Regions from separate parts of the Mus musculus genome. Here all the other regions are reported to be linked to region 3. The links are microRNA targets in miRTarBase. Many come from high-throughput screens and were not tested one by one. Region 3 holds a microRNA gene; each other region holds the end of a gene's coding sequence.
What was found. Region 3 holds the annotated microRNA mmu-miR-3097-3p (CUCAGACCUUUCUACCUGUCAG, at 2,802-2,823, opposite strand). A microRNA usually pairs through its seed, bases 2 to 8, with sites in the 3' UTR of a target mRNA and lowers its output. Matches are read on the target gene's strand: a 7mer-m8 pairs with bases 2 to 8, a 7mer-A1 pairs with bases 2 to 7 and ends in A, and an 8mer does both.

Region 1: the mRNA of Foxf2 is a reported target of mmu-miR-3097-3p. Seed matches in the 3' UTR shown: 8mer at 1,116-1,123.
Region 2: the mRNA of Aoc2 is a reported target of mmu-miR-3097-3p. Seed matches in the 3' UTR shown: 7mer-A1 at 3,094-3,100.
Region 4: miRTarBase lists Stxbp2 as a target of mmu-miR-3097-3p. Seed matches in the 3' UTR shown: 7mer-A1 at 1,286-1,292.
Region 5: miRTarBase lists Nup133 as a target of mmu-miR-3097-3p. Seed matches in the 3' UTR shown: 7mer-A1 at 2,808-2,814 and 7mer-A1 at 2,393-2,399.
Region 6: miRTarBase lists Slc11a1 as a target of mmu-miR-3097-3p. Seed matches in the 3' UTR shown: 7mer-A1 at 2,987-2,993.
Region 7: miRTarBase lists Ttc9c as a target of mmu-miR-3097-3p. Seed matches in the 3' UTR shown: 7mer-A1 at 1,650-1,656 and 7mer-A1 at 1,858-1,864.

Annotation. Positions count from the first base shown.
Region 1 is chr13:31,629,861-31,633,926 of GRCm38, forward strand. Foxf2 (forkhead box F2) reads left to right here. Exons shown (of 2, transcript NM_010225.2): 2 at 622-1,546. The coding sequence ends at 785. Among named protein-coding and RNA genes, the nearest start is that of Foxf2, 6.1 kb to the left of the region's middle.
Region 2 is chr11:101,328,676-101,332,735 of GRCm38, reverse strand. Aoc2 (amine oxidase, copper containing 2 (retina-specific)) reads right to left here. Exons shown (of 4, transcript NM_178932.1): 3 at 3,785-3,914; 4 at 3,037-3,539. The coding sequence ends at 3,273. It overlaps Aoc3 (amine oxidase, copper containing 3), which reads right to left and starts at 2,130. Exons shown (of 4, transcript NM_009675.2): 1 at 197-2,130. The coding sequence starts at 1,796.
Region 3 is chr5:35,019,851-35,023,916 of GRCm38, reverse strand. Mir3097 (microRNA 3097) reads right to left here and starts at 2,868; the gene lies at 2,802-2,868. Rgs12 (regulator of G-protein signaling 12) reads right to left here. Exons shown (of 17, transcript NM_173402.2): 6 at 3,511-3,603; 7 at 2,658-2,801; 8 at 1,146-1,325; 9 at 735-888.
Region 4 is chr8:3,642,282-3,646,339 of GRCm38, forward strand. Stxbp2 (syntaxin binding protein 2) reads left to right here. Exons shown (of 19, transcript NM_011503.5): 19 at 365-1,717. The coding sequence ends at 450. Among named protein-coding and RNA genes, the nearest start is that of Retn, 11 kb to the right of the region's middle.
Region 5 is chr8:123,895,709-123,899,774 of GRCm38, forward strand. Nup133 (nucleoporin 133) reads right to left here. Exons shown (of 26, transcript NM_172288.2): 26 at 1,415-3,802. The coding sequence ends at 3,666. It overlaps Gm29773 (a long non-coding RNA gene), which reads left to right. Exons shown (of 3, transcript XR_879336.3): 1 at 1-658; 2 at 789-888; 3 at 3,342-3,428. Among named protein-coding and RNA genes, the nearest start is that of Gm29773, 3.0 kb to the left of the region's middle.
Region 6 is chr1:74,384,931-74,388,996 of GRCm38, reverse strand. Slc11a1 (solute carrier family 11 (proton-coupled divalent metal ion transporters), member 1) reads right to left here. Exons shown (of 15, transcript NM_013612.2): 14 at 3,703-3,856; 15 at 2,946-3,604. The coding sequence ends at 3,491. Among named protein-coding and RNA genes, the nearest start is that of Ctdsp1, 4.6 kb to the left of the region's middle.
Region 7 is chr19:8,807,998-8,812,063 of GRCm38, reverse strand. It overlaps Ttc9c (tetratricopeptide repeat domain 9C), which reads left to right. Exons shown (of 4, transcript NM_027412.3): 4 at 226-2,989. The coding sequence ends at 320. Among named protein-coding and RNA genes, the nearest start is that of Zbtb3, 7.5 kb to the right of the region's middle.

The DNA.
Region 1 (4,066 bases), not on the chromosome of region 3:
CAGTTCCCTCGGGTACTCCGTGTGCGGCTAGATACCATGACTAAAGAGCACCTCTTGGCCTATCCAAGGCCAGGGTTCGAAATCTAGAAGATGCCTGCTGCCTGTGGTTGGGAGGGGGCTGCCCTCTTCTCTCCCCCTTCTCAGACCCCTTCTTCTCTAAGGTATTTTCTTTGTCATCCTGTGTGGATGAAGGGGGTAGCACACCCCCACCCCATCCCGACTTCTTGAGACAGAAAAATTAGGTACAAAAACAGAGGCGATGGCGCAAAGTGTCAGCGTGCGTGTGCCGAGCTCAGCCTGGATCCAGGCCTGGCAGAGAGGTCTCCCAGCACAAGAGAGGGATGTGGGAATCCACGAACAGATTACCTCTCAAGGCGTTCTTGAATTCCCACTTGCCTCTCAAGAAAGGGTATTTAAAACCAAAGCAGGGCAGGCCTTTGGGTCTCCAAGGCGCTCCGAGATGCGTCCTATTGGTTTTATAGCCATACACCCTAAGGCCACCAGCTGCCTTTACACCCTCAGTCAAAAATAACACAAATTAATGGGAAATTTCGAACTAATACACCCCACCATCAGCTGGGTGACTTTCACTGAAAAGATTTTTTTTCTTTCTTCTTTCAGTCGGACTGCCCCGTTACCAGCACCACTCCACTCCAGTGTGCGACAGGAAAGATTTCGTCCTCAATTTCAATGGCATTTCTTCTTTCCACCCTTCCGCTAGTGGCTCTTATTATCACCATCATCACCAGAGCGTGTGCCAAGATATTAAGCCCTGTGTTATGTGAATGGACAGAGGCCTTGAAGGCCACTCTGCTCTCCCTCTTCTGCCTTCTTCTCCTCTCCCCTCCGAGAGGGGCAGCCAGGAACTGCAACGGACTCACACTGTGCACGCTGGATAGCGAATAGCAGTAAGTAGCACACCCATCACTTAGACAAATACCCAAGGGAGTTCTGCTCACCGATATTTGCCCGGCCCCTGGAAGAGGAAACCTTTCGAAAGCTAATATCCCAGAAGAGCGACAGACAGAGGAGGTGACTACATGTAAGACATATGTTACTGTGTGGAGGACATAAAACTTTTCAGTTCTGGGGTGGCCATTGCATTCACTAATCAGGGTCTGAAAAGGGAGGTGTGTGTGTGTGTGTGTGTGTGTGTGTGTGTGTGTGCTTTTCAAAATTGCAGTGCTAAAAGCACACAATTTCAAGAAAGCCTTCTCTAGTTCCCTGGCTCAGTAGGACATTTCTTCCACCCACTCCCAGTCCCCCAACACTCCCTTCTTCGGATACAGGTGCCAAAGAACATTGTGAAGAAATGAAGAACCGATAGTCTAGTTTAAGAAAGTGGCTCTCAGTATTGTGACAGTACATTTTTACAAGGTTGTTTTTCTACCACCGTATTTTTAAAGTATTTTTATGATCTTCGTATACTCACACTTCGCTTGTATTGTAAAAGGAGGGTATATTTGCACTTATGTATACTTTGACAGTTTGCCAAGATATTTTGATGTAAGGTTTTTTTTTTTTCAATAAAATGTGTATAACAAGTAGTTGTTCTAGGGACCCTTTCCTCTGCAGGCACCCTGTTGTGGCCACACCCCACGGTGACAGTTGCAGCTCTAGGCTGCCCACCCCCAGGTTGTATAACTGACGTGATGTGAGGTCTCTGTTTTGAATGAGCCAGTCCAGTCCTGATGGTGGGTCTTCTCAGTAGAGAGGGCACTTTTTTTTAAATTTCTTTCTCTAGTTCACTCTCACTTTTTCTAGCCAAACAAAAACCAGAAGGTGAAAGGAACTTAAAAAACAAAACACCAAAGAAATAAAAATAAATAAATAAAAACAACAAAAGCAGGCAAGATATGGAAAGCCAAGGGGTTTGATCTGAGGAAGCTTAAGTTCTGCGCCCTCTTTGTTTCCTTTCCTGTGCCCAAGAGCTCTGCCCTTTTGCTCCTTCCTCTCTCCCACCAGTACCAGATGCTAGGGCAGAGTAAAGAACCACCTCCCAGAGCCTCCACATCCCATCTAGGCTGCAGGCTGCTTTGGGTGATGGTCAGATCAAAGGGGATTTAAATTGCCCCCAACACACACACACACACACACACACACACACACACACACACACCTCCCATGGGATTGCACAACTTCTTGCCAGGTTTTCTAACCCTGAATGCTACCCACAGAACTTGTAGGACATGGGATTGAAATGGGAAAATAGTCCAACCAGGCGGCAGATTTATTTCCCACTCAGAACACCCATGTGCTGGGGGCAGAGCAATAGTCACTTTTAATCATGTTGCAGTAATTTTTGTCTCTGCTCAGGGATGGATTTTTGTTTTTTGTTTTTTGTTAAACTCTCTTCCCTTCCAATCCACCACCAGGCACTTACTGTTAACTCTGGAGAGGATATTTTCCCCCCTATCTCAAGGAATCTTGATTCTGAGGTGTTCTCCTGAATAAAACATCTAGTTTCAAAACTCTTAGCTATATTCCTAGCCCTTAGGCTCTCTTCTGTATTTTTTTAACTACGGAATTAAACACTTTTGTTTCTGCATTATCATATTTGCATTTACATAGTTTTTTTCTACACCCCCCCATCCTTTTTGTCTTTTATTCTGAGTTACTCAGGGGGGCCTGCTATAAATTATGAAGTCAGTCGCAGAGTTTGCTCCGACCACAGTGCTGTGTTTACATTCCTTCCAAGGCAGCCGGCATGGTCGTAATTTATATCCTAAACACTTGAACGTAACTTGTTTATACAGAGAATGACGGGACCTCAAACTCCAGGCCGATCTGGCCAACCGCATCCGGAGGACCAGCGCGCCGCCTGGTGGAGCAGGAGACAGGTGCATGAGGACCTGGGCTTAAAAAGCACTAAGAATACAAAATGTTGGTGCTAATCAGTACAGATATTTAGAACAACTCTGTCAGGAATTAATGCTTTCTGTTTTTAGGAAGCACTTCGAATTTTCTCCATCTATTATTTCCATCTACAATTTCATCCTCAGGCTGATGAAGACTCGTCAGCCCTCCTCCCGACCTTATTTACTAAGATCTTGATACCTTTAGAAAGCTTCTAGAGTTCTCAACTAAAGTCACTGTTCCCTTCTGTGTCACAAATGCTTCTCTCTTAACTGCCCCTCCATCCAAGACAGGCACTCAGACATGTTAATAGTCATTTTTTTTCTTTTCTTTTTTTATGGTCATCGGTATTTTGACTGCAAATTGACAAAGTATAATTCTTAGTTTTAAGTTTCTGAAATATTGGTAAGACATTCTAAAATATGTGCTACCATGCTTTTAGAAATGAAGACGATTAAGTAATTCAATGGGGGGGGGTTCCGAATCACTTAACTATTTCTATATCTTGGGGACTGAACCCACAAGCTAATCACTTACTCTGCCACCGAGTTTTGAATTTACCAACCCACATATTTCAAGTGTACCTCCGGTCTTCAGAACTTCTGCTCATTGGTAGAATAAAATGATATGCAAAAGGATAGCTGAATATTTTGTAAAAGAATGACTGGCCTTTTTGTGTCTGCTTTTAGTTAGAACTATGTAAACTAAGAAGGAAGGCAACAGGTGACCAGGCCCGTGGCTCATGCCCAGCCTGGGCAGTGGTTGTCTTAGTAAGCCCTACACAGTTACCTAGTTAATCCTTTCTGTTTCCCCATGCTGGGGGCTGGGGGAGAGAACAGTGTGTTTCCATTAGCACAGCAAATACCAGAGATGAGCAGCTCACAGAGAGCAGAGGGTGGATGGGTGGGGACACGGATTTTTAGGCCTGGATGGTATAGCACACCGCGGTGGAAATGTATCATAGAGCAAACGATTCCCCTCAGATCTGGGGGATTAGAAAGAGAAGAGATGCAGCCCCACGCCTACCTAGTCAAGCCCCTCTCCCGCCCCCAGTGATATGAAAACCTCTCACCTAGGTCCCTCCACCTTAAAGGCTCTACACCTCTACTAACATCACAGAAGACAGTACATGGGCCTAGAGGGGCCATTCCAGATGCTAATATAGCGTGAAGACCTTGATCCTATTTACATATCACTCTTAGGTCATGTG
Region 2 (4,060 bases), not on the chromosome of region 3:
GGACCTAGCCTTCTCCCCGGGGTTAGCCATTTCCCAAGATGTTGTAAGGAGGTCACATGTATAGAGTCTGGCAGCTTTGCAGGAAGCTAAGATCCAAATGAAACTCAGCAGCCCCTCCTTTCCCAGCCAGACTGAAGGAAAGCATAGCCCCCTACCCCAATCTTTGTTTGGTGAGCAACCTACAATGATGTCTCACCTGCCACATCCAGATCCACTTTGAAGTGAGCGCTGTGGGTGTGTACCGTGCCCAGCGTGTGCGCCCCAACTCGGTTCCCAAACTTCTCACCAGCACCGAAGAAGAAAGCTGAGCTGATATAGCCTGTGGCGTGGAATTTGACTTCTATGGCCCCATTGGGGTGGAAGACCATGTCCCATATGTAGTCGTAATTGAGCAAGGTAGACACGGATCTGACCACAAGCACCGTCCCCACAACACCCCCAAAATAATGGGAGTAGAAATCTGAGTGGTGCCGCCGGAGTGGGAGGCCCTGGTTCTGTTCAAACACACAAAATGCATCACGTAGTGTCTTGGGGGCCTGAGATTCCAGAAGGAAGTGCCAGTCCACATAGGTGGCGAGGTAAGGACAGTCTACCCCTCGGATCAGGGGGGTAGAGTATTTGCCAATGCCAAAGCTACCGTCCACGTAGCAGGTCGACATTGATGCTGGGGAATTTCCACCGTAGAGGGCTATGGCCTCCTGGACACTGATTTCATAGGCCACCCTCTCCCCTTGAAAGCGGATATCAAAGATCCTTGGGCCACTGAAAGCTCCAAGGCCAAAAGAAAAAGCCCACAAGGAAGAAGACACTTGGCTCCCCTGGACACTGAACCGGGGTCCCTGGGGATGGAACTGCAGAGGGGGAGCTGGGCCCGGTGGCACTGAGGACTTTAGAGACCAGGACCCACCTGTACCATTGTTTGGGACCAATACCACATTCACCAGGCCAGCCTCAAACTGGTCCTCCAGCTGAGTGAGACTCTCATAGTAACGGCCTTGATAGAATACCTTCTGGATGGTCCACAGGGCAGGATCCAGGGCCTTATGATCTATCAGAAGCTCCAAGCCAATGGGGTGAGGGTAAAACCCAGCCCCTGAGAGATTGTAATACAAGCCAAACCAGGTGGCCCGGTCCCCTGATTGCAAACCACGGGGGGCTGTAGTCATTGTTAGCAGGTTCTGTCCCTGGTGTTTGTAGAAGCAACAGTGATGGAGGAGTCCAGAAGCTTGGGGCAGCTCTCTGTGGAAGATCATCTCCTCGATATCCTGATACTCTCTGTCCAACACAGGACGCCGGTAATAGGGCAGGGGGCCGCCGTGGCGCTCCACAGTCACATCCCGCATGTAGGAGGGGTGAGGCAGGGGCCCCACCACCAGCTCACTCACGTTGGGCTTGGGTTGTCCACCAAAGAAGATGATGGCCAATGCCTCTCTCACAGGTGGGGGCCCCCCTCTGTCCAAGTGGGCCAGGGCTGCAGCCTTGGCAGGCAGCTGCAACTCTACTGAGAAGACACAGTTGTCCGAGGGTCGAGCCTGGGCTGCATCCACCAGCCCTGGCCCCAGGTGCTTGGTCAGGAAGCTCATCACAGCTGTCAGCTCCTCTGGGCTCAGGTCTGCAAACGGCTGGCTCTGGCTAGGGTGTGTCCGGGGCTGGACACTAGGAAGAACAGAGGGGCAATGAAGAGGTTGGCTCAGTCCACCCCCATCTCCGCTCCTGCCAGCTAGCAAGACACAAACCAAAGCAAAGATGGTGATGACAGCCAGAGCCAGGAGCACTAGGGTGGTCTTCTGGGTCATTGCTTCTTGATGGACAGGCTTCTACCAGAAATGGACTCCTTTTGGCTGGGGTCTCCCAGGCGCTAGGCAATAGCAGAGCTTCTTTGTAGTCTGCTTTTGCCAGGGTGGGAAGGAGCAGGGAAGCCGGAGCTAGGGTTGGGAGGCGGGTCTGAGCTGGCTGCAGTGATATCCACAGACCTTACATGGCTTTGTCCTCCAGTTTCCAAATCAGAGTGCTCTCTGGGTCAGGGTTGGGATTGGGGGAGAGCTGGGGTTGGGGGAAGGGGGAGGGATCTCGTCTGTGTATGGAAATCCACTGCCAAAAAGTAGCCGGGTCTGCCCCACAGACTAACTTCTCCCCCAACTCCCACCTTATGAAGGCCGGGTGTTTCCTTTACATTCAGTGTGAAGTATTGTCCTGCCAAGGAAACCCCCACTTCCAGCCTCTTTTCAAAGAAAGATTCCTTGGCCAGGTCTACCTACCCTCCCAGCCCCGCCTTGTGGCTCTTACTGTTACTAATTTCCTTGGCCAGAGTCCTTGATATTCTCCTGGGATAAAGTTCTACATACTTTAAAAAGCCAAGCAGAATAAACTCGAATAAAAATTTGGCAGACCGTCTTGTACATAACCACGTAACTCCTTTTAGATACACACACGTAAGAAGCCTGATTTGATGTTGTGAACACCAGTGAGTTTTGAAGTGATAGAACTTGTGGCGTTTGAGTATTCCAAAACATTTTTTATAAATTATCATTTCAATGGCAGAAGCCAGGGGTAGTAGTGTATATCTTTAATCCCAGTAGTCTGGAGGCAGAGGTAGGCAGATCTCTGTGAGTTAAAGCCAGCCTTGAACTCATAGCAAGTTCCAGGACAGCCAGGGCCACACAGAAAGACCCTGTCTCAAATAGAAACAGATACAAAAGACAGGCAGGAAGCAAGAATTAGCCCACAGGGATACCCAGGTCTTTAGTGCAGAAAGGCTGCTAAGGAACAGAGGATGGGAACCTGGGGGCGGGGGGTGGGGGGGTGGGGGTGGGGTAAAAATACAGGAACAGAGCCAGATGGTGGTGGCACACACCTTTAATCTCAGCACTTGGGAGGCAGAGGCAGGCGGATTTCTGAGTTTGAGGCCAGCCTGGTCTACAAAGTGAGTTCCAGGACAGCCAGGGCTATACAGAGAGACCCTGTCTTGAAAAACAAAAACAAAAAGACAAAAAACAAAATTCAGGAACAGAACAGAGGAGTGTGTACATTCCATTCTTTTTTTAAAATTTTTTAAAAGATTTATTTTATGTATATGGGTACACTGTCTCTGTCTTCAGACACACCAGAAGAGAGCATCAGATCCCATTACAGATGGTTGTGAGCCACCATGTGGTTGCAGGGAATTGAACTCAGGACCTCTGGAAGAACAGTCAAGTGCTCTTAATCGCTGAGCCATTTCTCCACTCCACATTCCATCCCTCCTACCCTGGGGCCTCACCATAGCCTCAGGCCTATAAGCCTTCATAGGAAAAGGAGGGTAAGTTGGGGACACAGTCTGCCAGCTGTTGGGTGCAGGCCACAGGGTTGATGCTGCAGAGCCCGGCATCCTGGTCCCTCTCAAAGTACACGCTGCCAGGGGAGAAGATAGAGGGATCTTCATTGAAGAAATTGTAGGGTCGGAGCAAGAAGCCCACTCTGTTTCCCACAGTCACTGTGTTGGGGATGTCCTCAGCATGGGGGATGTGCAGGAAACTGGCTGTCACCCAAGCCACCAGATCCTGTAGGAGAAGAGAAGAATGGGAGGCTAAGAATCACCTCTTAGCTGCCATTTCCCAGCCTCCAGCCTCAGCCTGGCTTCTGCATCTGCCAGCCACATTCCTACACCGAATATCTAATAACCTGGGCAGGGTGCCACTGCTGTGACTAATTTCTGCCTAGTAGGGATAACCTGTATTGGACAGAGGCCGGACAGCCAAGACATCAGGAAGAGATGGCTTTCCCCATTATCTCTAAACCCACCAACCTCCCCTAAGAGGGTTTCATTGTTGATGAAGTCAGCAAAAACCGTAGCTGGGCTCCGCATGTCGTTCTGGTAATAGATGCTGCTGCTGTGAGGCTCTGCCTCCTTCCTCTGGGTCACCACAAGCTGGTACCTGGCCAGGAATTGTAGAAAGGCAGTGTTGGGGGAAAAAAAACCAAAGCGCTTTACAAGCCTAGAATCCCTTGGATCAGATTGATACCATTTCCCATCCAGTTATCCTTTTGAATTGGAAGGCAGGTCCAGGATGTGTGAGTGCTG
Region 3 (4,066 bases):
AAGAAGCCTGTCCCTGTGACCAGCTGGCTACTCATTTTACTAGTAACCCATTTTCCATCTTCTTCCTCACAAATCCCATTCATAGCCAATAGTCCAAGTCATTAATTGTTCTAACCATGATCTAGGCCAGCCTACATACGATGTAAGGGCCTAAACACTGTTTTACCCCAAGTCTGACACTCAGGCTCCTGGATCCAGTGACCTACTCTGAACAAGTACCTTCTCGGGCATCTGTAGACCCTGTACCAGGCAGACAGAGTATCTGAGCTCTGCTGCAGCCCTCTCCAGATGACTGCAAGTCTGCCAGGTATGGGAGGCCTCCATGGGACGCACACCCCATCTCCAAGTCCCCATCCACCAACACAATGGCTGACGCACATGCATTGGCACAGGCAAGAAGCTGTGCCTGGCTACGGGGACAGCACATTTGTGTTTGTTTCTCTTTGCTTGATTCTGTTTTCCAAGTTTCCTACTGAAGCACCTGCAACTTTCATAGCAAGAAGAAAAGGAGCCCAGTCAGCCAGACACGCTGCATCAAGGAGTTTCCAGAAGGTTCTGGAGCAGGCCTGCTTCCTAGGCTGGCTCATCCCCAACTCTGCTGGATTCCCAGGATCTGTGACATTTCTTCATCCCTCCAGATAACTCCGCTGTATCTCTGCCTGCCCACCATGGCCTCTCACGTTACCACAGCAGTCCAGCTCCCGCCCACAACAGCATGGTCTGCATTCACATACCATGGGCATGGTCACCATGGTCCTTCTTCTTCTGGGACCGCCCCGTGCTCCTGCTCCTTGACCAAGAGAAAAAGGCCCCTCTGCGTTTTTTCTCACTATCCTCCTCCCCAACATCTTCATTCAGGGATCGTCCTGATTTTGATTTTCCACTTAACTGTCACCAAATAGAAACATCAGTTAAGACACTAAAGGGGCTCAACACAGAGCTCTATGAGTAAGGATTCTGAGGAATCAGGTAGAATCTTCAGTGGGTCAAGGGCACAGTCCTCTCTTTCACCACCGAGGTAGCCAGGGGTTAGGGGATCAGGAAAGGGTTCAGGAGTATCTGTGTCCTACAGGCCCCACCTTCTGCTGGTGACAGGATGTGTGGTTACAGCCTTACTCTCACCCCCACAAGGGCTAGCCCAGCACCTTTTTTGGTGTGGACACATTGGAGTGGTCAGAGCTGATGCTGTGCTTGGAAGCTGGGCTGCTGGGGACCTGCTGAGAGTCCGGGAGGGTACGTCCCTCCACCTCTGCCAGGACGCATTCTTGGTACAGCTGGGATTTCAGAAAGCGAGTGTAGCTATCAAACTTCATCAGGTTGAAAATCTGTGGAGCAGATGCCATGCAGTATAGTCACAGAAAGAACGGTAACTCCTTAGGTCCTAGGCGGTATAGGAGGTCTGTACCCATGAATGAGTGACATTTTGGAAGGGTGTCATTCCTGCCAACCCTCCCTTGGGCCCCAGGGCACTCAGATGTTAATTAACTCTCCAGGGACCCTTCTGATCCCTGTCAACAGCCTCTCCTTTGTCACTCTTAGTAAGAGCAGAGTCATAGGCATAGGCACAGCCAGAAGGGCAGGCAGACTCAAGACTGTGGCTGCACCCTTAGCAGGCCTTCACTTCCTAGGAACTTGGAAGGCAGTTGTCTCAAGGGTAAGTGAGGCCTGGGGAAGCTCTGCTCTGTTTTAAGCTAATTCCTGCAACCTAGCGGCACAGCAGCTGGCAGGGCTGGGAAGTGTGTTCTGGACGGGTCAGATCACATGCTCTTCCAGAATTAAGACACAAACATGTAAACAGGGTTCCATGTGCATCCTGTGATCCGGCAGAGGCTGAGGCACGAGTATGTGAGCTTCATGTCAATGGTGGTGAAATTACACAGTGAGATCCTGTCTCAAATGACAATTGCTGCTACTGCTACTAAGCACGTAAACATGTAAGTATACAGACAGGTCCACAGCATTCTGGATGTACACTAGTGTGGCAGCGACGTGTGCTCATAGAAAGCTTTCTCTGGGCTGGGATAATGCAGTTATCATCCGCTCTCAAATGCTGGAAGTGACACCGAACTTGCTCAGAGTCAGCCCTGCAATCATCAAAGACCACTGACCTTCCATAATGTGCTGTTGTGGCCACGCTGTAGCTGTCATGTTCTGTAGGTCAAGTGTGTCCAATGTGCATACAATTTTTTTATACTTATTTATTCATTTACTTATTTAGTGAGAGAGAGAGAGAGAGAGAGAGAGTGTGTGTGTGTGTGTTGTACACCCACCATGGTCCGTGTCTAAAGAGTACAACTTATAGAAGTTGATTCTCTCCTTTCACTATGTGGGTCCCAATGATCAAACTCAGGTTGTCAGGTTTGGCGGCAAGAGCCTTTATCTGCTGAGCAGTCTCACCAGCCCCATAGACTTTTGAAAAGTAATATTGTCCCTTACTTCGGTTGACAGTGGGTACATGGGGCTATCTGTGGCAAAGGCTTTATTGTTCCTCAGATCTACTGAATCCTTTTGAGACTGGAGCCCAGTGGTCAGATGGGCTTGTCACCATGCCCACATGACCAGCAGCCCCCTTCCCAGAAGGGCACGTGCTACTCTGAGTGACTCTGCACCCCCAAGCCTTGGCTGGAAGCCCCATGGAAGACTGTCTGCAAAGTCACCTGGAGCTGTTGTTCCTTGAACATGTCAGGGTGGGGTGCATTGAGAATGTCATCTGCCAGCTGGGCCTGGCTGTCAATGTTGACAGGAGTGGTGGCTTTGCTGCACAGGAATTTACTGAAAATCTCCCGGGCCCTGTAAGAGAGCTGACAGGTAGAAAGGTCTGAGCAGATCTGTAGACACACCCACTGGACACACACTTCCCACCTGTGTCACTCAAACATTCCTAAGGCTGACTCTGCTTCGGGGCTGGAGAGCTGAGTCACAGGCCCTGTCTATAGTCTGGCTTATGAAAGTAAATATAAAAGAAAGAGCCAGGAGGAAACTCCTGAATCGGCTCCTCTACAAATTTCTAAATGGCTGCAAATTTCTAAATGGCTGCTTTGTAAGGGCCTCAGAGGAGGATCTGCCAGCAAAGTGTGCACGACAGGGGAGGGCAAAAGTGCACAATGCTCAGAGCACAAGACACAGGCATGAGGCCACTCTGTGAGGACAGCTGTTACTTTGGGGGAAAGGCCACAGGACATGGCCTGGGCAGTCCTGGGGCAGCTAGACAGGTGCTGTTAAGCCACAGGTAGAGGCTGCAGTTTGCCAGAGTGCTTCTCCAAGTCTCTTCAAACACTGTTCCTTCTTACCCAACCCAACGTCAAGTGCCACCACTGCCAGGCTCTGTGGCGAGGCATTTATGCAGACTATGTTTAGGCAGAATTAAATGTCACACACTTAAGTTTTTATGCTGAAGCAGAAATGTCACCGTTCTTTAAAGTCAGTAAGAAGCATCCCTCATCGACTGCTCAAGCAACCCTTGATGTAACCTCGGTCCTCACACAGCCCCTGCTCTGAAGAGCAGTTTACCTCTTTTTTGTCATGTGCAGGAACATGACTGAAGCACTCACAGGCCTGCCAGAATAAAATGTTCTCTTCACTGAATTCCTTACGTAGAAAATCCTGAGGGAACACAGGAAGGAGAGCAGTTGTCACTCCACAACCCCTCTATGAAGCTGAGCCCCATATCCCCGGCCCTCTTTGTCTACACCATGGCAGGAAAGGAGCCTCGCAGGGGCCTTGAAAGCAGGCATAGGGGCTGCGCAGCACACGTGAGTGGGCGGGCCATCTGCCTCACAGCTCTTTTCTCAAGGGCTGGTCATCTTTTTTTTTTTTTTTAAAGAAATATATTTTTAGTCTCTGGTTAGCATATAAAATATGACATCATATCACTGACACTATTATCACGTGCTGCTCGTAATCACTCTTTCACAGCTCCATCCCTACTTCTGGATCCTTAAGAGCTGTATTTGTCAGCATGCATTTCCAAGAATTTTGAAGAAGCTCCAGCTAGGATGATGTCATACAACTGTAATCCTAGTACTCAGAAGGATAAGGCAGGGGGATTATGAGTTCCAAACCAGAC
Region 4 (4,058 bases), not on the chromosome of region 3:
CTGGACTCTGTAGTCTATTGAGATCTAAGGCTGAGCTCTGAGGTCCTTATAGGGCCTGCGACTGAGCTCTGGTCTTTGAGGGGCTGGGGCTGAACTCAAAGAATCCCTAAAGGGCTAGGATTAGATTATGAAAGTTCTGGGCTTGGGGGTGGGAATCTGGGGACTTTGAAAGGCTGGGGCTGGAGTCTTCAGTGGAGTAATCACCTGGGGCTGGATACCCCTGTTCCTAAGTTTCTGAACCCCTCAATCATTGAGAAGACAGGGCCCTGGTTTGCAGAAGGGCAGGAGTTTGTTCTCACCAGCCAGGACACGAGTCAGGAGGGAGGGACTCTACCTCCTCCTTTAACCTTCCCCTCCTGCCCAGGCTCTTCTCACATCCTTACTCCAACCCGCTTCCTCGATGACCTCAAGACACTGGATCAGAAGCTGGAGGGTGTGGCCCTGCCCTGACACAGCCCCTTGCCTCTGCCCTCTCCTATTCCAGAGAAATAAACGCTTCCCTTCTGTCTTCCCACCAGGGCTCACCTCATTTTCTTCCCAGAGGGAGCTGTATTGAGCCAGACCTCCCCCTGCGTTTTCACTGTCCTGCCCGAACCTTTCCCCGGCCCCCAGAAGCATCTGTAGCTTTCATTAACGCTGAGAACCTGGGCTGTAGGGTCAGTATTGGCTTGAAGTTTAGGAGGCACTGGCTCTCTTGCTGGGTCCTCCATCCAAACCCAGGCCTGATTTTGGCAGAGGAGATAGAGAGGTGCAGATTAGGGGTTGCCAGGGCTGCAACCCCACTGTCACTAGAGTTCTTTAGGCTGTAAGGTTAGAAATATAGGAAAAATTTTAACCTTTATCTTTATTTTGTGTGTTACACTTGTATGTATGTTTATGCATCATAAGTATCAGTGCCTGTAGAGGTCAGAATAGGGTGTGGGATCCCCTGGAACCAGAGTTATAAATGGTTGTGTGAAGCCATGAAGGTTCTTGAGTCTGCTGTGAGAACAGCTAGTCTCTTACCCACTGATGCATCTCCAGCACCAGAAATAGAAACGGAAATAGAGTAGACCTGAATCCTGACTCTTCCCCGGAACCTCCCAGGAGCTACTGCAAGTAGAACTTGAATCCCCAATTCCAGCAATCAGAGCTAGCATTTAAAATACAGCAAACTTGGGGCTGGTGAGATGGCTCAGCGGGTAAGAGCACTGACTGCTCTTCCAAAGGTCCTGAGTTCAAATCCCAGCAACCACATGGTGGCTCACAACCATCCGTAATGACATCTGACGTCCTCTTCTGGTGTGTCTGAAGACAGTTACAGTGTACTTACATATGATAAATAAATAAATCTTAAAAAAATAAATAAAATACAGCAAACTCTAACACCGGCTTCCTAGTAACCCCCCGCACCCAACCTTAAGATATGCCTGTAGACTCTTAATTGCAGGATTTACCAGAGTTTTTAATGGAGGTATATTTGTTCAGTAGGGTCAACTTATAAACTATTCCTAGGGCCTGGATGGCTCAGAAGTTAAGAGCGTTTCCTGCCCTTACAGGGGCCTGGAATTTGGTTCCCAACACCCAATTTGGGTGACTCAAAACTGACTGTAACTCCAGCTCCAGGGAATTCAGTGCTCTCTCCCGGCTTCAGTGCGAACCCAGATACATGTACACCTCCCCCCAACACACAGCAATAAACAAACAAACAGGTAAATAAATGAATAAAAGCACTTCACTCAGATGGCTTTACAGGAATTTATTATTCCACAGTTCTGGAAGTTTGGTCTTTGCTGGAGGTGTTGATTGGTTTGTAGATAGATACCCTTTATTCAAGAAAGGGTATCCTGTAGTTCCAGGCTGGTCTTGTTAAATAGCTGAGGGTGATTTTGAACTCCTGAGTGTTGGGGTTACAGCTGTGCAGTTGGGGTTGCCACTGTGCAGTTTCTGCAGTGCTGGGGGATGAACACAGTTCTTCATGCATGCTAGGCAGGTACTCTTCCAGCTGAACCACATCTCCACCCCTGCAGCTGGCCATTTCTCTGTGTCCTCACATGGTTGCGTTTTGCAGGTGTCCCAATTTCCTCTTCTTATGTCACCACATACTGGATGAGAGCCCACCCTGTGGCCTCATTTTTTTTTTTAAACTTAATTATCTTTAAAAAGACCTTGTTTCTAAATATATTCATCTTGAGATACAAAGGGTTAGGACAAGATCATCTAACTCTTGGGAACAGATACAATTTAGCCCATAGCATTTGAGTAACAGGAGGTATGGTTCAGTGTGTGAATAAGACAGAGAAGGGACCTTCTTTTTGGGGACACAGCCAGGCAGGTATCACAGGTAAAGAGGATTGGAAGGCATCCCAAAGTGTTTCATCTAGAGGTGGGAATAGGAGTAGAAGGGAATGGGAGGCTCAAGGCTACAAAGCCAAAACCATGGAAGGATGCTACATGGTGCCACATGGTGAGCCAGACAGTTAAGTGCTGCCCATGAACAAGAGCACCGGGATTACAGAGCTCACCCAGCAGTACTGGAAGCCCTGGCCTCTGTCTCTGACTTTAGAATGAGATTTTACAAAGGTCTGAGAACTAGGTGGGACCTGGCAAAGCTGGGTGAAGATTTTGTTACTGATGGGCAGTTGAACACTATGGAAGGATTCAGGGGTTCAGGAGCAGGGAGGCCAAGAAGCCCAGTCCAAGTGTTAGAGTGGCCTGGGCTGGAAGCCAAGCACGGTGCCCCCTGTCATTTGGGTCCTGTCTTTTGGGTCCTGCCTGGGCATGTGAGCCATGCAGAGTTGTGGACACAGCTAGGAGGATCCTTTTGATTTTGAGTTCATCAAAGCCCAGGGAATCTAAAGACATTTCTCAGAAAAGTTGAGAACATGAGGCTTGGGATTCTAATCAGATTGTCCTGAGCACCCCAACTCAAAAAGATCATGAAATTTGGAATGAATGAGTGGGAATAAGGAAATCGTCTGTCACAGCCCCCCCCCCCCCTCAATCCCAACCAGCTGTCCTGGTTTCAGTGCAGAAGGGATGGATGGTAAGTGGAGGGAGACAGAGGGTGATCTTCCTGCTCTGTAGCTCAGGCTAGCCTGGAACTCCCTACCGTTTTACCCCAGGTTCTGAAGTGCTGGAGTTGTCTGGCACGGGAGGTTATTCTAAAGTTTAAATGTAAACTCTAAGATCCCTGGCAGCAAACTGCTGTTTCTCTCTGGGATCTGTTTCCGTATTTCAGCGAGGTGAGCGCCAGGGGATGCTGCGGCCCAGATCGTAACCAGAGCTTGGGTGACCTAATTATTAGAGAAGCCTGGGAAGTGGGCTAAGGATTATTTGATGGTTCTCAGCAGAAACAAAACTGTTGCTTAAACTACTCTCATCTTTCCTTTAAAAAAAAAAAAAGTTAAAAAAATACTCATCACATTGTGTAGTCCTGGCTGGCTGGAACCATGTGGACCAGGCTAGCTAGTGCTGGGATTAAAGGTGTGGCCCACCCATCCCGACCGAATCTGATGATACCGACATGAAGGATGAGTCTGTCTTGGGGTTACTACCGCTGTGATGGAATATGACCAAATGCAGTTTGGAGAGGAAAGGGCTTATTTCACTCAGTTCCATATAAGAGTTCATTCATCACCCAAAACAGTGAGGGCAGGAACTCAAGCAGGACGGGAACCTGGAGGTGGAAGCTGGTGAGGCCACAGAGGGCGCTGCTTACTGTGCTTGCTCAACCTGATTTCTTCTAGAAGGCAGTGCCACTCCCTCAAGGGTGGCACCGCCCACAATGGGCAGGGCCTTCCCAGGCTTGCCTACAGCCTAATAGAGGCATTTTCTCAGTTGAGCCTCCTTTTTCTGATGACTCTAGCTTGTCTCAAGCAGACATAAAACTAGCCGGCACAGTGTCTATACTACCAAACACAAATGTTGATTGTGCAAGCATTTATTGCTCTCTGTGGCTACTGTCATCAGCTGAGATCTTGGCAAACCTCCCACATTACAAAGAATCTTTAAGACCCTCTTTATAAGAATAAAATGTCCATCCTTGCTTTCTGTGTTATGTAGGTATACCATTCAGG
Region 5 (4,066 bases), not on the chromosome of region 3:
CTGTTGGGACCTAGAGGGGGCTGAGGCAGAGAGAGGTGCTGATGAAGATATACCTTCTAAGGAGCACTAAGACCTTACACTGGTGCCCAGGAGCGGCCCCTCCCAGGCAGACTCATCTTTATATTTAGAGGATGATGCCCGTCAGCCCGGCTGCTTCCCATGCACCTTGGGGCCACCACCTGCCAGGCTTGTGTGGGTTCTATTTATACCGCTGATAGATGGGAATCTGCTTTTGGGTTTCTAGAAGGAGCAACTTATGGAAGCTGGGATGGGGGTGAGTAGAGGTCATCTCTTGGCGCCTGTCTCAATTTGGGCAGGGAGAGGGATAAGAAAGCCCAAAGGAAAAGTGTTCTGTGACCAAACAGGCGACATGCTTTGAGGGGTGTGCATCAGAGCCAAGCCACCATGGAGCCATTCACTTTTCTGATGGCTTAAGCGCTCCCAAAATAGCTGTTCCCATTTGGAGTGGAACTTAGCAGCTGGGACAGGTGCAGAGCCTCTGAGAGCAGAGGCTCCATGAAGCGATTTCAGGATCCCACACAGCTCTTCCTAAACCTGAGCTGCACTGCCTAACGGGCATCAGCTCTGTGGCTTTGCCTGTGCCCTGGGCCAGGACCTGGAACTGTTAAAAAGAAGCAAGCAGCAAATGCAGACTATGGTCAGCTTTGGGGGTGCTTACATTTGGGGCATGGATGTAGGGAGAATTGTCCAGGTGACTGGACCTCATCGGGCCGGGCTGTACATACCGCCCCAGACTCTCGAAAGCTCTTGCTTATCCCACTATGCAGATTTCTCAGCTTTGCGTGACAGCATAAAGTGGACCTTGAACGCAGTGGTTTGCGAACTACAGGAAACCTGCGGCCCCACACCTGGCGCAGCAGCAGGCAGGTGAGTAGGCAGGTAAACTCTAGGTTCAGCTGCACCCTTTCCTTTCCTGACAGTTTTTCTCTGGAATCCCGGCTAGGTTCTCGCCGGCTGTCTTCTTGCTGGGCCCTTAAATGCTTGTGTGCAGGGCACTTACGCCACCATGCGACACACCCACACCTCTTCTTAATCTCCCCCCCCCCCCCTTTGCCCCTTTACCCCTCACATCCTGTAAGTCCTTGCGGTATCTACCAGAAGCAAACAGGACAACTAACAGGCAGCACGGCAATCCCTCAGTCCTGTTGCAGCCTAGGCTTGTATTAGCATCAGTCTGTCTTTCCCTAGTGAGCAGCAGCACAGGTCGGCTCTACCCTTTCAACTCTTGCAGCAGCAGTTCTGGAACCTCAGAGCCTGACAGGGAAGGCACGCGTGTCACAGGACAGGACAGGACAGGAGAGGGAGCTGGTCCCCTCTCCACTCACACTGGGGACTGAATTCGGGCTGGGCGGCCGAGCGTAAGGAGCTGGTTCTTACAAGTGAAAAGCAGACAAAAAGAAAACCTCGTTTTTATTAAGGCAATGCAGATGCATGCAAGGACCTGCCATCCCAGCAGGAGAAGGAAAACTGGAGCTCCTCTGAGAACAGAAGTCCAAAGGTGTGCTAAGTACTCACCATTGCCCACACAATACAAAAGGTGGTCGACTGAAGCTCATTTCAAAACAGAAGCCCAGCTTCCAGGTCCACCAGTTACTTGTGTTTATTTTGGATATGAGCTCAATGTCAGGCTTCACACGCCTTAAAAAAATTGTTCTAGCCAGGGCTGGTGTGTACACTTGCAGTTTTAGGACTTGGGAAGCTGAGGCACAGGGGCTGAGAGTTTGAGGCCAGCCAGAGTTTATATGCACATATCATACACATATGATAAATATATACAACATATATACACATTGTTTTTCAACATATATTGTATTTTATACATGAATATTATGCCATTCTGAGGACAGACTGGCAGTGGTGGGGGAGGCCACACTGGGAACACTCAGAATGTGGGACCAACCATGACAGCCCGAAACACCATGAATTTGTCTTGCAGACCTCTGGCTCTCCCCATAGCATCCAGTCAAGAGAATAAAACAACAAAACCTTTCCCCCTGTGCTCTGTACAGGTTGCCAGGGCCCTTTCAGGTCCTGACTGACTCACACATCCTCAGAATACAGCACACTCACCTCAGGGACAAGGGTGGCTGCTGCCATTCACAGTCCTAACTAGTTCATGCTGAACTAACGGATAGGCCAACAAGAGAAGGATCCCAAGAATGTACACCGGGTACCAGGAGACAGTCTTAGCTACCTGACTTAGAAACAAATCATTCATTCTTCAGAGATGGATTATGTGACCAGTTTTTAAAACTTAGGAGGGAAAGATATTCAACACTGAAAGTCTTAATTTCATTTTTACTGCTGGAGTAAGTTTACATGCCAACCATTCTGAAGCTGCGATAGTTGCCATAAAGGTTTAGCCCCCTTCTTCAGACAGGTAGGCCATGGCCAGAGCTCTCAGAGCAACATCTCTGGGTAGACCAGCCTTGGCATTACGATGTTTAGGAAGGGACCGTCTACGGTGAGACTAGAAACCATCCTAGGTTTATGAGTCAATACTGGGGTCACAGACAATGCCAGTACCATATCTGGTAGCAATGACAACTTACTGACAGCTCAGAAAGCCACACAAACATCTTACTAAAACACTTTAAGACTTATCCATTATTGATGGATGCAGTGGCCCACACTTTTAATCCTTTAATTTTACACACACACACACACACACACACACACACACACACACACACACACACATATATATATGGCTTTTTTGGCTTTTAAGTTTTAACTTTTTTTTTAAAAAAGATTTATTTTATATATGTGAGTACACTGTCACTGTCTTCAGACACACCAGAAGAGGGCCCTGGGACCTATTACAGATGGTAGTGAGCCACCATGTGGTTGCTGGGAATTGAATTCAAGTCCTCTGGAAGAGTAGACAGCGCTCTTAACCACTGAGCCATCTCTCCAGCCCTGCCCCTTGCTTGTAATTTTTAAATCAATGTAGGAAGTGAGAACATTCCCAGTGAGTTACCAGCTGCCCACCCTCCCGAGTTAGACCCAGGGTTTTGGTTTCTAGGCCACAGTATAAATCAGTGACATCTCATCTTCACTTTGCTAAGCAGGCACTTCCCTTTGCCTCCGACCAAGAGATCAGCTTCTCAGAGACTCCCAGAGTGCCACATGCAGAGGGCAATCTGTTTTCCCCGTCCCCTGCCATCTCCAACACTTCCTCACTTCCGCTGCCCTGCTCTCCAACCTGTAGCATCTTTTAATTGCTGACCCAAATAAACAGACACACTTGCTCAGCCCATAGAACGTTACTTGCATGTAAATTCATGTATATTATTATACACATTCTTATATTTTTTCAGGGCTGGTATTGGACAACCAGTTGGGGAGCGAGGCAACCTGTTTTGTTTTGCTGCCTCTTTGGACCGAGGGAGGCTGGAGAAGGGCAGCTACACAGAAGCAAGGGTGACTTCAGGTGGAAGAGGAGGAGGAAATACCTTACAGCTGAAAAAGAGCATCAGGGCCCCTCCTTTTATATCGCGGCTCCCATATAAAGCATAGAAAACCTGGTTGCTGCAGACAAAACAGACTTCAGGTTGATCCAGACCTAAGTTTTTTGGCCTCAATATTTTTTTTTAATAAGCAAATATTTACACAAATTTTAGAAACAACCATTTCTACAAATGTCACATCTGTCCTTGGACATAATACTCATAATTTGCTTTCAGAACAAACTCAAAGTAAGAGTTGGACTTGAGGCTTCCCAGCTGCTCTGCTCGCAGTAGGTCCGTCACCTCTGGCAAGTACTCGCTGAGCTGGATGCCTGCAAACAGAAGACACGGTCACTTCTGACGGCTGAAACTCCTCCGCACATGAGCAGTACAGCAGCCAGTACTGCTAAGTCACTGAGCGAACATGCCCACACTGCAGCCTCCTCCCATTCAGAGCCCTCAGGGGAATGGCAGCCTCTTCAGAGCCTCAGAGCCCTGCAGGTTCCTATTGGTCAGAGCAGATGCTCCAGAGGAAATCTTCAGTAGAATCTGAAATTTTTTTTTCCCTACAGTTTAAGACATTTCTTCAATGTGTA
Region 6 (4,066 bases), not on the chromosome of region 3:
CCTAAGATGATTATTATTTTAATACTCATCCCCAAGAAAAACAATGGTGTGGACTGCTATCCGGGACTAAGCAGGATACTCTGGGGCACCTGAGACAAGGGTCCTTCCCTTCACCACCTCAGTTTCCTGCTTGTGGATGGACTGGACGGGAGGTCTGGTAGGACGCCCTCAGCTGGCTCCCCGGAAGCAGGTATGCGAGGACTGACTGGTGAAACCCTAAGGTAGGCCTCTTTCCTTAAATTCAATTTGAGTTTTGGGGCTGAGGTCTTTAGGGCCGCCACGGGGATGGAGGAGCACTAAGTGCCGGCCCCTGGCTGGAAATGGCCAACCTTATCCCTGATCTTGGGCCTTGGTAAGTCAGACAGGTTGGCTGAATTCCAACACTCCAGAGGCAGAGGCAGAGGCTGGCAGATGTCTGAGTTCAAGGCCAGTCTCTTCTACAAAGTGAGTTCCAGGGCAGCCAGGGCTACACAGAGAAACCCTGTGGTGTGGTGTGGGTTAAATCATTATTTTTGTGTGTGTGAGCATGTGTCACAAAACATGTGTGGAGCTAGAGAATCCACCCATGTGTGTCCCAAGGACAGAACTCTGGTCTTTGGGAATGGTGACTGGTATCCTGACATACTGAGCCATCTTGCTGACCCTAAGATTTATTATTGCTGTTGTTGTTGTATTTATTATTAATTTTGAGCAAGCCTCATTATGTAGCCTTTGCTGGACTGAAACTACTACTTAGCCGGAGCTGGCTTGCCTCCAGTGCACAGAGATCCACCTGCTTCTGTCTCCAGAGCGCTGATATTAAGGAGTGTGCTACAATGTCGCTAAGATTTATTTTTACGTATATGTGTTAGTGTATGCAGTGAGTGTTGGGGTGCCTTTGGAAGCTTGAAGAGTGTCCTGTCCCCTGAGCTGGGGTTCCAGGCTGTTGTTAGCTGCCATGTTAGCTTGTGCCAGAGGAGCTGGGAAGTTCAGTCCTATGGAGGTGAGTGTTCAGTAAGTGTTCTGGGCCAAACTTACCTTCTCAGCGCTCAATTCTAAGTCCTAAACACAACTAGTCATACGATCAGCTTCTCCCTCCTTCTGGGTCCCCCAGCCCCATTCCACAGCATCTGAGAACCAAGAATTGTGGACACACTCACTGACAGCCCTTTCTTATTTAACGTTCACAATCCTGTGCTCAGTGGTCTTCCTCTTTTTTTAGGGGCCGGGGGGCTCGAGACAGGGTTTCTCTGTACAGCCCTGGCTGTCCTGGAACTCACTCTGTAGTCCAGGCTGGCCTCGAACTCAGAAATCCGCCTGTCTCTGCCTCCTGGGTGCTGGGAATAAAGGCGTGCGCCACCACGCTCGGCCCAGTGGTCTTCTTAAACTCGCAGTGTCATCCTGCCAGTTCATTTTGCCCTCCCACCCCCTTGCCCTGAGAGCTCCTGGACAGACAGCTGACATCCTCTTTAATTCGGGACTTTTACCTCTCTTCCACTTCTAACCCAGGGCTTATCACAGAAAAAATTAAAAAATAAATGAAAAATAAATAAAGCACCCAATTAGTGCCAAGTGAATCGCTTGAATGTCCACCAAGTTGGGGGACACGGGAGAAATTAGAGGGGAATCTGGAGATGCTTTCTTTGCCAGCCCCCTACCCCTTTATTATCTCGGATCCCATCTTCTCCAGCAGCAGGCACCAAGGCGAGGGGAGGTACTCTTTCTTGCTCAGGCACCCAGACCTCTCCCTTAGCCACTCCTTTTGGGCCCACTCTTTTCATTGCCCTTTTAAGAAAGAGGAAATTCTTTTCATAAACAAGCGCCCCACTCTGAGCGGCCAGTCCACAGCCTTCCCAGCTGGGTTCCGGGTAATAGGAGCTGCTTTCAGACAGAGAACCTCCCCCAGGCTCTACCCTGGGAAAAGGCTCCCCGGTCACCCCTTCCCCCGTGCGGCTCTGGGCTGTTCTAGGCTACAGTGCAAGGAACCGGAGGAGTCAGGAGGAGGGACTTAGGGGAGCCTAGAAACTGCCTAGGGAGCGTCTGCAATGTGCTAGGTCTACACAGGGCGAAGGGTTCCGGGACGCTGACTGCGGAGGAGGGGGTTCCCCGCCCACACCGCTACTCCCTACCCGGGCGCGGAGGTGGCTTCTGCGGCCCTGGGAGAAAGCACCCTCCTCTCACCTGTGTCCCGCTTGCCCTTGAAGGAGGACAGGGCCTAGGCCGGAGTGTGGGCGCCCGGGAGAGTCCCTGCCCCTAGGGGGAGCTGAGAGTGAAGTACAGGGAACCCTAATAGCGCAGCGTGGGAGTCAGGTCAGCCCAGTTCCCTGGGGAGATGGCAAATGAATTGGGCCTTGAGGCACAGACTTTTGGGTTCTTTATGGTCTGGCTCCTGACAGAGAAGGAGCACTTTCTAGGTTTTACTCTCTGGAAAATAGGTTTCCGTACAGTCATTTGGAGGGTTCGGGTTTTGGCGTTTAGATTTTCTAGCGCTTTGGAACAGAGGGGAGCTACCCTTTGGTTCATCGGACGATTTCTATTTTTTTAAGTTTCTTCCAGTCCGACTCTTCCTCCCCCCAAGTTTGTCAGGTCCTCCTCCTCCTCCTCCTCCTCCTCCTCCTCCTCCTCCTCGTCCTCCTCGTCCTCGTCCTCCTCCTCCTCCTCCTCCTCCTCCACTTTCCTTCCTTCTTTTTACTTCCTTCTTGAGACAGGCTCTCAGGTAGCCCAGGTTGGACTCGAACTCAGTTTATTTTATTATTGATTGATTAACTGGGTTTTTTAGAGACAGGGTTTCTCTGTGTAGCCCTGGCTGTTCTGGAACTCACTTTGTAGACCAGGCTGGCCTTGAACTCAGAAATCCACCTGCCTCTGCCTCCCAAGTGCTGGGATTAAAGGCGTGCACCATCACTGCCCAGCTTGGACTCACTTTTTAGGAGGATAACCTAGAACTCTTTAAGATTTTTTTTTTAAGATTTATTTATTTTATATATGTGAGGACACTGTTGTTGTCTTCAGACACACCAGAAGAGGGATCCCATTATGGATGGTTGTGAGCCACCATGTGGTTGCTGGGAATTGAACTCAGGACCTCTGGAAGAGCAGTCCGGTGCTCTTAACAGCTGAGCCGTCTCTCCAGAGACCCGACCTAGAACTCTTTAGGACTCCTCCCTTCATCTTCCACGAGCTGGAGTGAGACAATGGAGTTGTGGCAGTTCTGTTTGAGGTGTTCTGGGAACTGGAGTCACCTTCAGTTGAAAGCCACCACGTTGATGCTGGGAATTGAATCCCCATCTTCTGAAAGGGTGGTGGCTAGTGTTCTTCACACCTGAGCCATCTCTCGCCCCAGGCACTGTGTTTTTTAAGTCTCTTAGGTTGTGGTGATAAGAATGGTGTCATTATTCCGAGGTAAAGCACTTGTCCAAACTGGAAACCGGTAATCCAGAAAGCCAGTAGGGGACCTCCAATTGCTCTGCTGTGTCTGCCCTGTTGCCTCTTTGCTTGCTGGATGCCGCGGTCACCCGGAACCCTGCACGCCTCCCTGCTCCTCGTTAGGGAGCCCATATAAGAAGTGCTTGTGGGAGCTGTGGGTCAGGAAGGTGGCTCCGTGGGCGATGCAACAGGTCCAGGCCTGGGGAAGGACCATGAGTTGAGGAGAGGCCAGAGCGCCTCAGAAGCCCCCTGTGTCTCCCTCTCCTGCCCTCCCTGCCCCGTGGCTGACCCCAGTACCAGATAAGCAGTCAGGCCCAAGTAACCTATTGCGAACAGAGCCACAAGGCCAAAGTAGGCAGGGTGCGGGAGGCTGGGCAGGTAGCTGATCACAAAGTACAGGTTGATGGCGCAGACTAGCGCCATGATGCACGAAGTGATGGCTTTGCTCATCCTGGGGGAAAAATGGATGCTCAGGGCTGGCTGAAAACAGCCGGGCCTCCTGGATGGTCTCCCCACCTCAGGACACCCCTATCCTCAGGACTGCCTGAATGCTCTAGAGCAGATAGACCCAGTTAGCCACTTGGAGGCACTTCAGGCTCCATCACTGACTTGGCAAGGGGTGTGGTGAGGTTAAGCCCGGGGTTCTAGAAACTGCCCCACC
Region 7 (4,066 bases), not on the chromosome of region 3:
CTACAAAGTGAGTTCCAGGACAGCCAGGGCTACACAGAGAAACCCTGTCTCCAAATAAATAAATAAATAAATAAATAAATAAATAAATAATAGAATTTACTATTATATGGAATAGTTGTGATACATTCAGAGTTTGGAGAACTAAAATAACTAGGAGTGTTAACAATGCTCTGTGGTCCATTTGTGTCATTATGGTCTGTCTGTAAACCTCTATTGTCTTTGAAGATGCCAATGTTCGGCGGTACCTCCAGTTGACGCAGTCAGAACTCAGCAGCTACCATAGGAAGGAGAAACAGCTGTACCTGGGCATGTTTGGTTAATGAAGAAAAGAGACATTTCTCAACTTGAACTCAAGTGGACAAGCAAAGGCCCATTGGGGAATCTGAGCCTCACTCAGCAAAAGGAGTTCACCCTTTACCTCTGACCCAGGTGGATTTCCATTTTGTTTCCTGTTCTGCACAAGTTCTTTGCTCCTTAGACCATCTGCATCGTTTATTGTCTGTCCCCTAGTGTATTTGTATGGCTTACAATCTGAGAACATTCATCGACTGTGGGTGGAATCAACTGTATTTGTGGCATAGATTTAATGGGGTGTTATTAAATGTTCTCAGACACAGAGGAGAGGGCCGGTGAAGGGTGAGAGAGTAAGGACAGGCAAACAGGAATCTTCTGTAGTATCTTCAGATGCTTTTGTTTTGCTTAGTGGGATTTTTTTTTCTTTTAATTATAAATTGAGCCCAAGTATATTTACATTAAAGATTTGAAATTAGCTGGGTGTGGTGGCGCACACGTTTAGTCCCAGCACTTGGGGGAGTCAGGCAGATTTCTGAGTTTGAGGCTAGTCTGGTCTACAGAGTGAGTTCCAGGACAGCCAGGGCTACACAGAGAAACCCTGTCTGGAAAAACCAAAAACAAACAAACAAAAAAAGATTTGAAATTAATCATTTTAGGGCTAAGGCTGTAGCTCAGTGGTAGAGTGCTCGCCTAGCACGAATAAGGCCCTGGGTTTAATTCCCCAGTGCTACAAAACCAACCAACGAAATAACAAGAAATGAATCAAACTGTTATTTAAATTAATTTCTTATACTCCTTTAATATTTCAGAGACATTCAGATTATTTTCCTCCATAAAAGTATCTTCTTTCTAGGCAGACTTGGTGGTAGATGCCTGCAATCCCAGCACTTTGGAGTCTAAACCATGACAATCACAAATTCAAGGTCAGTCAGATCTTGTCTCAGAATTAAAGGGCTGGAGATAACAGCTCTGTGGGAAAACCCTGGGTTTAATTCCCCTTTCTGGTTTTTGGTTTGCTTTGTTCCCTCCTGGTAATTTCTAGTCCTTGCTATTGCTTGCACTCAGATCACTGACAAAGTACAACTTATTTGTCATTAATTTAGTCTTTTTTTAAAACTTCTGGAGTGAATGCCTGGGATACATGAAACCCTGTTTTTACCTTCTCTCTGACCTTGTGCCAAGAAGGAACCCAAGTGCTGGTGCACTTTCTCTGGGTGTGTGTGTATGTATGGTGTGGGAGCTTAAACCCACCTTGCACATGCGAGGCAAGCACCCTGTCATCAAGCTACACAGCTAGTCCCACAGAATTTGGTTTGTATTTCAAAAAGTTTCTCTGCGTAGCTTTGGCTGTCCAAGTCTGAATATTTCATAGATACATTCTAAAGTGTTCACTTTTCTGAAAGGCATTACTTTTGTCTTCTTGAAAGTGTACCGTAGGGGCTGGAGAGATGGCTCAGCGGTTAAGAGCACTGACTGCTCTTCCAAAAGTCCTGAGTTCAAATGCAGCGACCACTTGGTGGCTCACAACCATCCCTAATGAGATCTGACTCCCTCTTCTGGAGTGTCTGAAGACAGCAACAGTGTACTTACATATAATAAACCTTAAAAAAAAGTGTACCCTAATAAATCATGACAGAACCTGTTTCCTCTTCAGCTGTCACTCTGTCTTGTAGGTGCTCAGGACCTTACAGAGGAAAGAAAGTACAAGGAAAGATGTTTATTGTTTAGTGTGTTGGAAGCACCTGATAGAATCCTGAAGAAGCTGTGTCACTCATGGGTGCAAACCTAGGGTTGTCTTGCCTTGCCTTGCCTCGGTGGCATTCAGCTACTGGTGGCTGGTCTGTCATTCTGTTTACCCTGGATCCTCTTTATGTCATGGCTGACAATTAGTAGCTAAGACCATGTAGTAGGCCTCCACCTTTATAAGCAGAGATAATAAGCATGTGTCGCTAGCCATTATATAATCAAAAACCAAATATGTTTCTTGGGGTGGGACCAACTAGCTTATTAATAATACCTAAAACTCTCCTAATACTCTGTGCTTCTATGTTCCTCCCCATAATTTAAATAATATATCCAACAAGATAAAAAGCTTTTCTACCAAACCTAAAAAAATACAAGGACAGAACTAAGTAGAATATTTTATCTTGCAGACTTCTTAAACTGCTAAAGTTAGCATATGTCTGTGATTTCAGCACTCAAGAGTGCTGAGGCAGAAGGATTACTATAAGGCCAGTCTGGCTATATACTGAATTCCAGACTAGCCAGACTTACCTAACAAAATCATGTCTTAAAAACTCAGATGGATAAAATCCCTATACTGGTTTGGCAAAATTTTGTCATAGTGAGTCCTGTCACATTAAGTTAGAACCCCTTTTTTTTTTTTAAGTTTCTACTCAGTAATTTTCCAGTATAAATCTCACCACTACCCCTCAATTATAAATATCCACTTGTCTAATTGGAGTCAATTAGGTCCAATCTCTGTGTCCCGCTGTAAAATCTAGTTGCTATAGTTCCTATGCCATGACTGCCCCTGAATGGTCCATTTCCTATGCTTTTAAAAATAATTAAAATCATTGTCATCTTGCATGTTTCACTTCTTCAGAGCTGGTTTTGCTTCCTGGCTGTTGTGTAAAAATTTGATGTTAAAGGAAGCTGTCTATTACATCAATGAGGAAAAATAAAACTGATATTCACAAATGCATCTTAGAAATTTATTTCACTGATAATTTCTCAGCCTTCCTAGCAGTGTCAGACTTATTCTGTAGCTCAGCGCCCAACAGACTCAGTAAGTCACAGAAAAATAAAACCAAGCCTGACCTAGGGCTTGAAGAGGTCTGATGAGCCCACATTGTGAATCAGCCTCAGAGGATCCCTAAATATAAGTTCAGTAGTCTGTGGAGGGGACAGGCTCCAGCTTTACCAGGCTTTAAGCATTTCCAACAAGATTTGAAGGTTCTAAGTGAAGAGGTAGTCTTTGTGGTGCATGTGAAAGGACACACATGAGGGCATTTTGAGACCCACTCCGTCATAGTTTGGCCTCAAGTTCTATTTACATATTACCTGTGTTAGTGCTTAGGCCATGTGAGAGTTGTTACGTGTTAGCTTTGCAGTAGAGCACTTGCCTAGCACTGCCCAAAAATTACTTGTAAGATATTTTCAGTTTTTAATGTTCCTGTAGCCTTGCCTGCACTGGATCTCATGGCAGTCCTCCTGTGTTGGCCCCCTAGGTGCTAGGATTATAAGCATGAGCCAGCATACCAGCTATCTTTTTTTATGTACATTAGTGTTTTGTCTGCTTGTATGTCAGTATGTGATGGTGTCAGATCTTGGAGTTAATTGTAAGCTGCCACATGGGTGCTGGGAATAGAAAATGGGTCCTATGGAAGAGCAGTCAGTGCTTTTATCTGCTGAGCCATCTCTCCAGCCCCATTAGCTGTCTTCACACACTGGTTCTTCCTAAGTTGCCCAGGCTAGCCCCATCTATTTGAGCTCAAATGAATCTTCTGCCTGAACCCGCCAAGTAACTAAAACTACTGGCAAGTTCCACTCACCTGCCTTTAAAACTGAAGGTGTATTTACTTATTCGTGGATTCTTTTTCTTTCTCCTCTGTGCTAGGGCTTTACAGATGTTAGGCAGGTACTTTCCCACTAAATTATACTCTGACTTTTCAGTTAAGTGTTGGCCAAAGGCCTGACTAGCCCAGTAGTGCCTATTACTCAGATTGTCTAGAGAAACTACATCCAAAAGGACATTGTTCTTTACTTTGAG